Linked DNA regions of Caenorhabditis elegans. The protein of the gene in region 1 purifies or fractionates together with the protein of each later gene. This does not show direct contact. Each region holds a gene or a part of one and is shown in the gene's direction. Other genes may lie near its edges.

What was found.
Region 2: the proteins of cpna-3 (region 1) and C04C11.1 fractionate together in Caenorhabditis elegans (co-fractionation; one large-scale study listed by BioGRID). This does not show direct contact.

Annotation. Positions count from the first base shown.
Region 1 is NC_003282.8:9,094,731-9,100,030, forward strand, and holds cpna-3 (VWFA domain-containing protein), read left to right. Parts: upstream 1-2,111; 5' UTR 2,112-2,175; coding exon 2,176-2,237; intron 2,238-2,303; coding exon 2,304-2,489; intron 2,490-2,576; coding exon 2,577-3,063; intron 3,064-3,110; coding exon 3,111-3,214; intron 3,215-3,433; coding exon 3,434-3,680; intron 3,681-3,726; coding exon 3,727-3,854; intron 3,855-3,899; coding exon 3,900-4,062; intron 4,063-4,112; coding exon 4,113-4,190; intron 4,191-4,236; coding exon 4,237-4,344; 3' UTR 4,345-4,636; downstream 4,637-5,300. Other genes in the region: icln-1 (Methylosome subunit pICln), read right to left, coding at 1-82, 157-305, 348-449, 509-568, 613-755, 800-915; znf-706 (Small EDRK-rich factor-like N-terminal domain-containing protein), read right to left, coding at 1,175-1,217, 1,266-1,342, 1,398-1,499; gldi-10 (AMP-activated protein kinase glycogen-binding domain-containing protein), read left to right, coding at 4,641-4,647, 4,700-4,811, 5,188-5,277.
Region 2 is NC_003284.9:14,018,735-14,022,911, forward strand, and holds C04C11.1 (SCP domain-containing protein), read left to right. Parts: upstream 1-1,855; 5' UTR 1,856-1,864; coding exon 1,865-1,990; intron 1,991-2,051; exon of another isoform or gene 2,052-2,072; coding exon 2,073-2,283; intron 2,284-2,627; coding exon 2,628-2,745; intron 2,746-2,793; coding exon 2,794-3,030; intron 3,031-3,307; exon of another isoform or gene 3,308-3,394; coding exon 3,395-3,590; 3' UTR 3,591-3,660; downstream 3,661-4,177.

The DNA of each region.
Region 1 (5,300 bases):
GATGGTGTTGATGTTGATCGCCTCTTCCGAAAATTCTCTGCATATTGGCAAGACCTTCCTCACTCATTTGCATATGATCAATCTGGAAAATGTAATAATTGGAAAATTCACTATCAATCTCAAGCGCTTGGGGGAGCGCTCAAGTAAATATCTTACATTATCAGCTGTGAACCACTGTCCAGATTGTCCTTGTCCGTCGTCACCCATCTCTTCTTCCATTTCCTCTTCTTCGTCGTCATACATAGGATCGTCTTCTTCTGGATTTTCCTCTTGTCCAACAGCGATTTGATGGTAAATTTGGCTTACTGAAAACGAAAAATAGTTTATTTGTTTTATTTATCACTCACATGAATCCTTGTCATCTGGAACAAAACGGATTTCAAGTGCTGGTTCTTCCTCATCATCATCACTTTCTTCGTCTTCGAGCTCTGCAGCAGCAAGTTCCAAGCCTGCAAAGAATCTTAATTTTAGCAAGGATCCGGTTGAAAAAGAAGGCGAAGACGTGTACCTCTCTGCTCGTCATCTTCCTGTATTGTCCTCAGAACAGGCGCACGTCTCCGTCTTCGTACTAAAAATTAGAGGTAAAATCTGAAAATTGCCGATAATGCATACCTGACTTCCGCTGATCAACCATGACAAATATGTGTTCTGATGGGAAAACGGAGACGTCAGTGGATATGGCATGAAGAACAATTGCTGGATAGGCAACCGAAAATCCTTTTGTTCCAGCGGCCGAGCTGATCCAGATAACTGCACTGAAATTAAACATTATTTCTTCACTGTTACTAGAAAACCGTACCTATCGGTAATGTAAAGGGTTCCGTTTCCAAGTGAGTCAATCTTGAAGAAAGCCTGTACATTGGTTGTGGCAAGCTTGATTCCTTCAGTTGGCTGGCTGACTTCAGTGAGAATCATGTTTGCTTCTAAAACTTTGTTTGAGTGATAAATATTAAGCAGCGTAAATTGAGATAGATAAATTAAGATTGAAACTTTGCAAGACAATAAGAAAGTTGGTAAAGTAAACATAATTCGATAAATTTCATTAACTGCAGCCATTCAAAATTTAGAAAAATGATTATGATCGAAAATGGTGCGGTACAGAAAATAAAGTGTTTTTGGGACTGAAAGAGGTGACATGGAGTGCATTTTCGAAGAATTCAATATTACTGGGTGCTCAAGCTTCAACGAGTTCTGCTGGAAGTGGGCTCTTTGGGTGCCTGCAACAATTTGTTTTTTTAATTTCACGAACATTTTAATTCGCTTACTTGTTCTCGAAGTGTTGCTTGTAAGTTTTTGGATCTGGCATCATGGCAAGACAGACGGTACATTTGTGATTGAGTGCCTGAAAATCGTTTTAAATGAATTTGCAGAAAACACTCCGATTGAAATGAAATCACCTTGGCAGCTGCAGCTTTCTGGTCGATTCCGGCTTTTCTTGCGGCATCAGCCTTCTTTTGATTCTTCTGTTGCGATTGGATCTTTTGTTGACCACGAGCCATTACTAAAAATATGAAATTTTAATCGTCATTGAAAGGAAAAGGCAGAAAATAGGCAAAAATGGGAAAGAAGTGCATAAAATTCGAAAGAGAAGTGCTCACGAGAGTCCGCAAACACGGTGACGAGGAAGTGCACACAATTTTGCCTCGAATTTCAAGAAATAGCAAAGGATGAGAAAATTGAACTGGTTTTAGGAAACGGCATCAGTGTTTGCTGAGAAGACACTCAAGAAAGTTCTATATTTTGAAATATCTCACCACTTTATTGATTTTCTTTTTGGAAGCGTATTTTTATTCACAAAAAATTATAAAAAATTATGAAATACGCTTTAAAAATCATTAGAAAAAATAATACAACTTTTTAAAATCAAAAAGAATTAAAAATGGCTCAAGGAACACGCGTCTAGCAGGAGTGGTCTTGCCACGAAATACAGTTTGTAGTTGCAAAGAACTTTATTCAAAAAAACACTCCTGTGTCTCACAGCGACTTTCGAAATATACTGTGTTTCCGTGTACTCCTCGTAGACAATTTCTCAAATTTTCAGTTGTTTTTCCTAATGGCGCATATTTAGATTTTATATCATATAAAAATAATAAATTTTGTCTTTTTGACAGGCGAAATTCATGAGTCATCGATCGGACGACATATAAAAGTGTAAAAACGACCTCAAGTGTGTGCATGCTGCTCGTTTCTCCCGACAAAATGGCGGCATACGGAATCGAGATAACTTTCGCTATTCGGTGAGCATTTTAACGATTTTGAGTATATTCATTATTTAAACATTATTAAAATTACTAATTTTTAAGAAATGCTCGGTTCTATCCATCAGCCGATGGCGTTAGCCTCAAAATATTCAGTTTGGACAAGGACATGGAAGTTGTTGAAAAAGTTGCTGAAACCGAAGCGATTTATGGACAAAGTGACGCATTTTTCACAGAAAAGTTAAATCTAAACTACAGGATTGAAAAAATGCAAAGATATCGAGTTACCATGTATGTTTTACTTCCGAAAATCAATCGGAAGCTGAAAAATAATAGCAATAAAATTAATAATTTTTTCTTTAAAAACTCATATTTCAGAAATGTACTAAACTCCTCCACAAAGACAATTATGGGATCAATGGGTACTGCCGATTTCGATATTTCTATGATGTTCGCATGTGGAGGACGTCTCATTCTCCTTATCGCTTCACCACTTGCGCCATGTTCTCTGGAAATTGTTGGAAAAGTTCCAGATTATTATTCCCAGTTTCTCCGCATTAGGTTTTCTGGAAATTATTTGCACAGTCCTTCGGATGTTATTCCACTTCAACTGTATTACATTCTCTCAATTCCCACTGAAGAACGGACAATTATGTTGTACAAATCGGAAATGTTGAGAGAAACAAAATATCCAGAATGGGCGGCATTTAGTATTCCTCTGTTTCTGCTTAATTATTTTAATGAATCATCGATTCAACTTCATGTATATAATTACACACCAAATCATGATGATCAACTCGTTGGACACTGTACAACTACTCTCACACAACTACAACAAGGTGTTGGGCATTTTAATTCTTACATGGTATGATTTTTTGTTTAAAATATATTTATTAATTAACAGTTTTTCAGCTGATGGAGCCTAATGGGAAACGAATTCATGAAAAGACTTGCATCGAATTGAAAGAATTGAGCTTGGAAAATGGTCCGACATTTTTTCAAATGATGGAAAATAAGTAAGAAAAACTGGTTTTGGAATGGAACACTTTCCGGTTCATAACAATAGTTTTCATGCTTAAATTTACAATTACACTTTGAAAATTTACACTTTGCTTTATATTCAATTTTATATTTATAAAATTGACATACTTAAGCTGAACAAATAAAATGTACAAAAAACCAATTAATGTATTTTCAAACTTTTTTTTTCGTTGTAATAAGTATTTAATTTTCAGTGTGAAGATTCAATTAACGTCTGCCATCGATTTGACTGCATCAAATGGAAATCCTGTAAACCAATCTTCTCTTCATTACATCCATCCTCATCAACCATCTCCATATCTCGAAGCACTTCTTCAAACAGTTCCCCCACTTCTTGCTTATCTTCCAAATCCTCAGAATCCTCATATTGGAGCTCTTGGGTTCGGTGCAAAAGTTCAAGTTCCTGGAGGTGCTCTTCAGTTATCACACTGTTTTTGTTTAGTAAGTATTTGTTGAAGCAATAATCCATATATTAAATGTTTTACAGAATGGAACTCCAACTGATCCACGTGTAGAAGGTTTGGGAGGACTGCTAAGTGCTTATAGAACTGCAGTTATGGGTCTTCAACCATTTGCACCAACAGATTTTTCAGAAGTTATTTATTTTATGTCAAAGTAAGTTATGCGAGATTTCAGTTGATATGTAAAATTTGTATTCAGATTCGCAAAAGCTGAATCTCGTCGTCATGTTGGTCTCTACTTCGTTCTAATCATCTATTCAGATGGTGGCCCTGCCAATGCACTTAACATGAAAAGATCAATTGATGCAATAGTTGATGCATCGCCTCATCCAATGAGTATTATCGGAGTTGGAATGGGACAGGTTAGATACTTTTTTTTAATCTGGGAAACATCCTAACAACTAATTTTTAGGATCGAGATCACAGTCCGATGCGAAATCTTGAGAAACTGACATTGAAACATTCCGACGGACGGCTTCTCGTGCGACAGGTAACTCTCTTTTTCAAACTGACCGATCAAAAATCAATATTTTCAGAACTATAGCTACGTAGATCCGTCGGACCTAGAATCTAGTGATGTGTTAGCAATGATCCCGATTCAAATGGCTCAGTGGAAACGGATGTTCCATTTTGATCCGAAATAAAACAAATGTATCCGAAATTTTCTTGCACTTCTCCTATTTGTATTTTTGTTTTCTTGCAATTTTCATCATTTTTCATGTATTTTGTGCCAAAATTCGTAACGCTCAAATTATATATATAGATGTACGTAACCCAGTAACCTATAATTCCCCCTATTCAATCACGGGTTTTAATCATGTTTGCTTTTTTCATAGATTGTTCAATTTTTCATAGAATTCATTTATTTCTCACATTTTATCCGCTGGTTTGTTGTACTCATTTTCCTCATCATTTCCAATAAAAAGAAACGGTCGATATCATGTTTGGTGAGCATTTCAGAAAGCTGCCAGTTTGATTTAATCATTTGTAAATGTTCAGGTAATGAAAAGAGCGAAGAATCCGGAAGTTCTGGGTTTGGTTTAGCTGAAGTTAAAAAGGTTTTCCAGTGGATTCTCGGATGCACTTATGCGAAGAAAACATTCAAAACTAGGTCAGTTTTCGTGATCTGCGATTAAAATATTACCTAGATGCCAAATTTTGCAAATATCATTCCACAAAAACGGTACTCGGTCTCGACACGACCACATTTATGTTTGAGGCAAAATAATGTGCACCTTTAAAGATTACTGTAATTTCCGATCTTCGTTGCTGCGTCTTTTATTAATTTTTCATATGCAATTAGACGAATAATTACAGTACTCTTATCTTTAAAGGCACACTCCTCTTGAACTTACTGTTGTTAGCAAAATTTTGTCGCGTCGAGACCGGCTACCGTACTTTTGTGGAAAATCCGAAAATTTCTGTAATATCTCTGTATTATTTTGAATTGCTTTTTGAGAACTGATCCGTATTTTGAATCTTTACAGAATTTCTGAAATGTTTCATTTTGCTGATGCTCCGCACATTGTCGTGTATGAGCGAAGTGAGGAGCGACCATGGTATTCGATGGTTGGAATGTGAGTTATTACATGATCAATCA
Region 2 (4,177 bases), on another chromosome or scaffold:
TAATTCTAATTAAACTTTTAGATAAAAGTTTTTATAATAGCCATAGCAATATTTTATAATTTTAATAAAGTACGAAAAAAAACTCGAAAAAAATTATGTAAAAAATTATGGTTACAAAGTTTTGGTCAATGATTTTACAACAACAGTTCATATCTTCAAATAATATTCAAAACAACTTTTTTCCAATTATTGATCCCAATTTGAAATAAATTCAGAAATTCTCGAGTTCCAATAATCCCTTCTTCGAAACATGAAAAACTGATGTGATGAAAATTCTGTGATTGGAGACGACGTGCAGCTTTGGCGACACATTCACAGTCCCGACTTCTTCAGGATGCCCACGACTGTGATACTCTCGCATAGCTATTCCTCGTCCCCGATGCGATTCAATGTGATTAACTCATCTGTTTTACTACTACAACAACTACTTCTTCCCACTGTCGATGATATTTTTTCCCTGATAATCTGTATTTGATATTTTCCAGTCTGTGTCTCTTTACCACCGTGATTCAATATCTATGATATTTTTTGTATTATCTCGCTTTATGACCGTGATTACCAATAATTAACGAATAATGAATATTTAAACCGAAAATCGTGTAAACTTGAAGAATGTCGCATGAATGAATTAGCTTTATTATGGAATCTTATGGTGCTGAAATTGCAAAAATAAACATTCGTATAACCAGGAAAAAAATGTTGTCAGTATCAAAAGAGTTATATCATTTAATTGTACATGTTTCATGTGATTCAATACATTAACAAAAACTTCGAGACAAATAAGATGAATTATAAAAAGTATTAACCGATGCATTGTCAGATCAAGTAAGATTGGAACTTAGTTCAGTGCCGGCGCTAATGAACTTGTTTTCAGAGAGCATTGTGATTCAAGAGAGTAAAATTATTCAGAACTTTGTATAATTTTATTCAACAAAAGAATTCAATGATGCTACTACCCTTCTAATCGTGAATTGTGCCAAATGAAATTTGAACTGATTTTCAAAATAAATATCCAAAATTGAGATAATGAGTTGCTTTCCAAAATTACCTAGGACCCTTTGAAATACCCAAAATTTGGATTACTGCATTTTTTCTCCAAATTTTCAACACTTTTTCTTAATATATGCACATCTTCTCTTACTGAACTGCATATTTACATGGTAAACATGGCGATGATTGTAACGATGACACATTCATAAAATTTCCAGATGGAATTTGAATTGAATAAAAAGAAGGCGTCAACGTCAAAAATGAAATGATGCTTTATGTTTGAACAGTCGTGCCATCACTTTCTCACTTTCTTCTTTTTTTTCCATTTCTTTGCACAATTTTGAAATGGGAAATATTTGGAATTCCTTCAACTTTTTTGGTGTTTTTCTTGTGATTTATTATTCTTAGTACGTTTTTAAATAATAATGTTATTTAAAAATAATTTTAATAGTGTTGTAGGGACCATTTATCTGAGAAATGATTAAAATTAGTCTAGTTCTATACTCGAACAGTGCTAAATTTTTGTTCTACGTCAGAATTCCGAGTGTTTCAACAGTAAAATCCTAGTAAAACGGTAAAAATACCGTACTAGCCCCTCCCCTGTTAAGTCTAATTTCTTTGAATAACACTGCTTTTCAACTGAGACGTTTGCTATTATTAATGAGCTCTTTTTTCAATTGAACTTGATAAAAATTCAAAGTTTTGATTATATAAGCTTTTTTAATTGATTCAAACATGTCAGGAGCTCCTTTGCTCTTTTATCTATTTGTAATCTTGTCTGCAAGAAAATCACACATTTACTCTCTCAACAACTTACTTTATATATTTCTCTCCATAAAAAAATGTGTCCCTCATATGTTTTTATAGTAACAATATGAACCTGGATGCATTTCTCCCTCCCATGCTGGTTCCGAACCGAGAAGAACAAAGGCATACAATTACTCGAAAACGAATGGAGAGATTCTCAACGGGCGGACAATTACTATCTGTGACGGATGTGGTGAGTGACTGATGAAAAAATGGGGGGGGGGGGAAGATGAAAGTAGAAAAACCCGCTGATGATGACTAGTTATTATACACAGAAAACGACGCACTTTGATGATAATCCACAACAATCGACACTTCCATTTGATGGCAACCGATACTACTCGAATAATAGAAATACGCTCCGCGAGGCGGATTATGACACTGTTCACACCTATCGCGATGTGCTTCATGAACCAAAAAGGCAGGAAGTCAATTACAGGATTCCGAGAGCTAGAGAACCTGTGGAAAGAGAATATCCAGTTAAAAGTTAGTGCAAATAGTTGATAACATTTTCGATAGCAATTTGCCCATCAGTCTGAACGCTTAACAAAGGTTTAATACAATACAATATTGGTATTTTATATGAGATTTGTAATTTTACATTTACAGTTATCAAACAGAAAACATTGCATTAGTGACAAAAAGCATAAATTTCAAAATGTTAAAAAAGGAGTAATGCTTCTGTGTGTTGTTAATGTATAGACCCAAAATGTGCACGAGTTTTGTATATAGATTTTGAAAACAACATTATCATAATTTCCCAAGGCTAACCTGCTAAACAGAAGGGAAACCCCATTTCAGAGACTTACCAAAAAAATTTCAATTTACAGGAATAGATCGTGTTGCGCCAACGCAAATCATTCGAGAATATAGCAGAAGTGATGATTCAACTTTGAACCCAGAATGGAAAACGACTGACTCTTATGTACGGAAAACATCAATTTTAAAGTCGGTTAACTATTAACTCATTTTTCAAATTAATCGTTATAATTTCAGAACCGCTAAAAAAGATTCTCATCAGCACCATCATCAAGTTCCTGCTGCACCATATCCTGCTGGAACTCTTCCTCCCAGCTCTCAGCGAGTGGAATGGAGAGAGCCACTAGACTGTCTTATTGATAGAATGAACAGAATCAGAAGTACAATTGCTTGCCCTCCATTGGAACCATCGGTCCGGTTAGCTGATATTGCTGCCCAGTGGGCTCGGATGTTGGCGATCAGAGGGGAATTTCGGTAATGCAAACGTTTTTATAATGGTTGGAATATGAGTGTCAAAATTTGAAATATGACCATGAAAATGGTATGAATTTGCAACTGAAACATTACTTCAAATTCTGTGGAGAATTTTTGAATAGCGTATATTGTATGTATGTATAAGACAACAATACTACTCTTATTTCGCAATTTAAAAATAAAAATAATTTTTAAAAACACAAGACAAGAGAAATCCATTAAACCTTCATTCTGAATTTAAAAATATTTATAAATCAATAAAAACTGAAATTTTAAGCTGAAACTGAACACAATTCTGATGAAAGTTAACTTTTGATTACACACTGTATGTGCAAGACCATGGAAAAAACTTTCAAGCTTGCAGAAGTGACCGCAACCGATGTATGAACATCTGGATGGGGTCTCGTGTAACCGAGTCAATTGCCGACATATGGTGGGATGAAGCGGAAGAATATGGTACCTGGAACTATCTCGACGTTCAATCACTTTCGTGGGTTGGCGTGGCCAGTGCTTTTAGTGAACAACATCGCCAATTTATCGTGGTTGCTGTTTATGAGTGATTTATTGATGGTTTTTTCTTATTACAATTGAACAATTATGAACCGCTTTAATTAAATTGTTTTCACAAATATCGAAATACATCATCTAAAAGTAGATTAACTTGAGGCAACACACAAAAAAACATCATCTAACACCCCCAACTAATCGTCTGCTAATCTTCTTTCTGGAGTTATTTCCGATGACATTCTCGAATGTGTTTTCTTGTTCAATTCTGCAATAATTGTGTTGTGACTTTAAAGGGGGAGTAGAGTTTGTGGGGAAATATATGTTTCTGACTCTAATTTTGCCCCTGATACCGAATATCGATGTGAAAAAATTTTAAAAAATTTCCCTGATTTTATATTAATTTTTAAAATCCGAAAATCCATTGGATGCCTATATGTGAGTTTTCAAACGCAAAATTTTCCCGCCAGAGACGCCCCGCCCACGAAACCGTGCCGCACGTGTGGGTTTACGAGCTGAATATTTTCATTCTATTTTTATTTGATTTTATACCGATTTTCGTCGATTTTTCTCATTTTTTCTCATTTTTTTGGTGTTTTTTATTGAAAATTTTGTGATTTTCGTAAATTTATTCCTATTTATT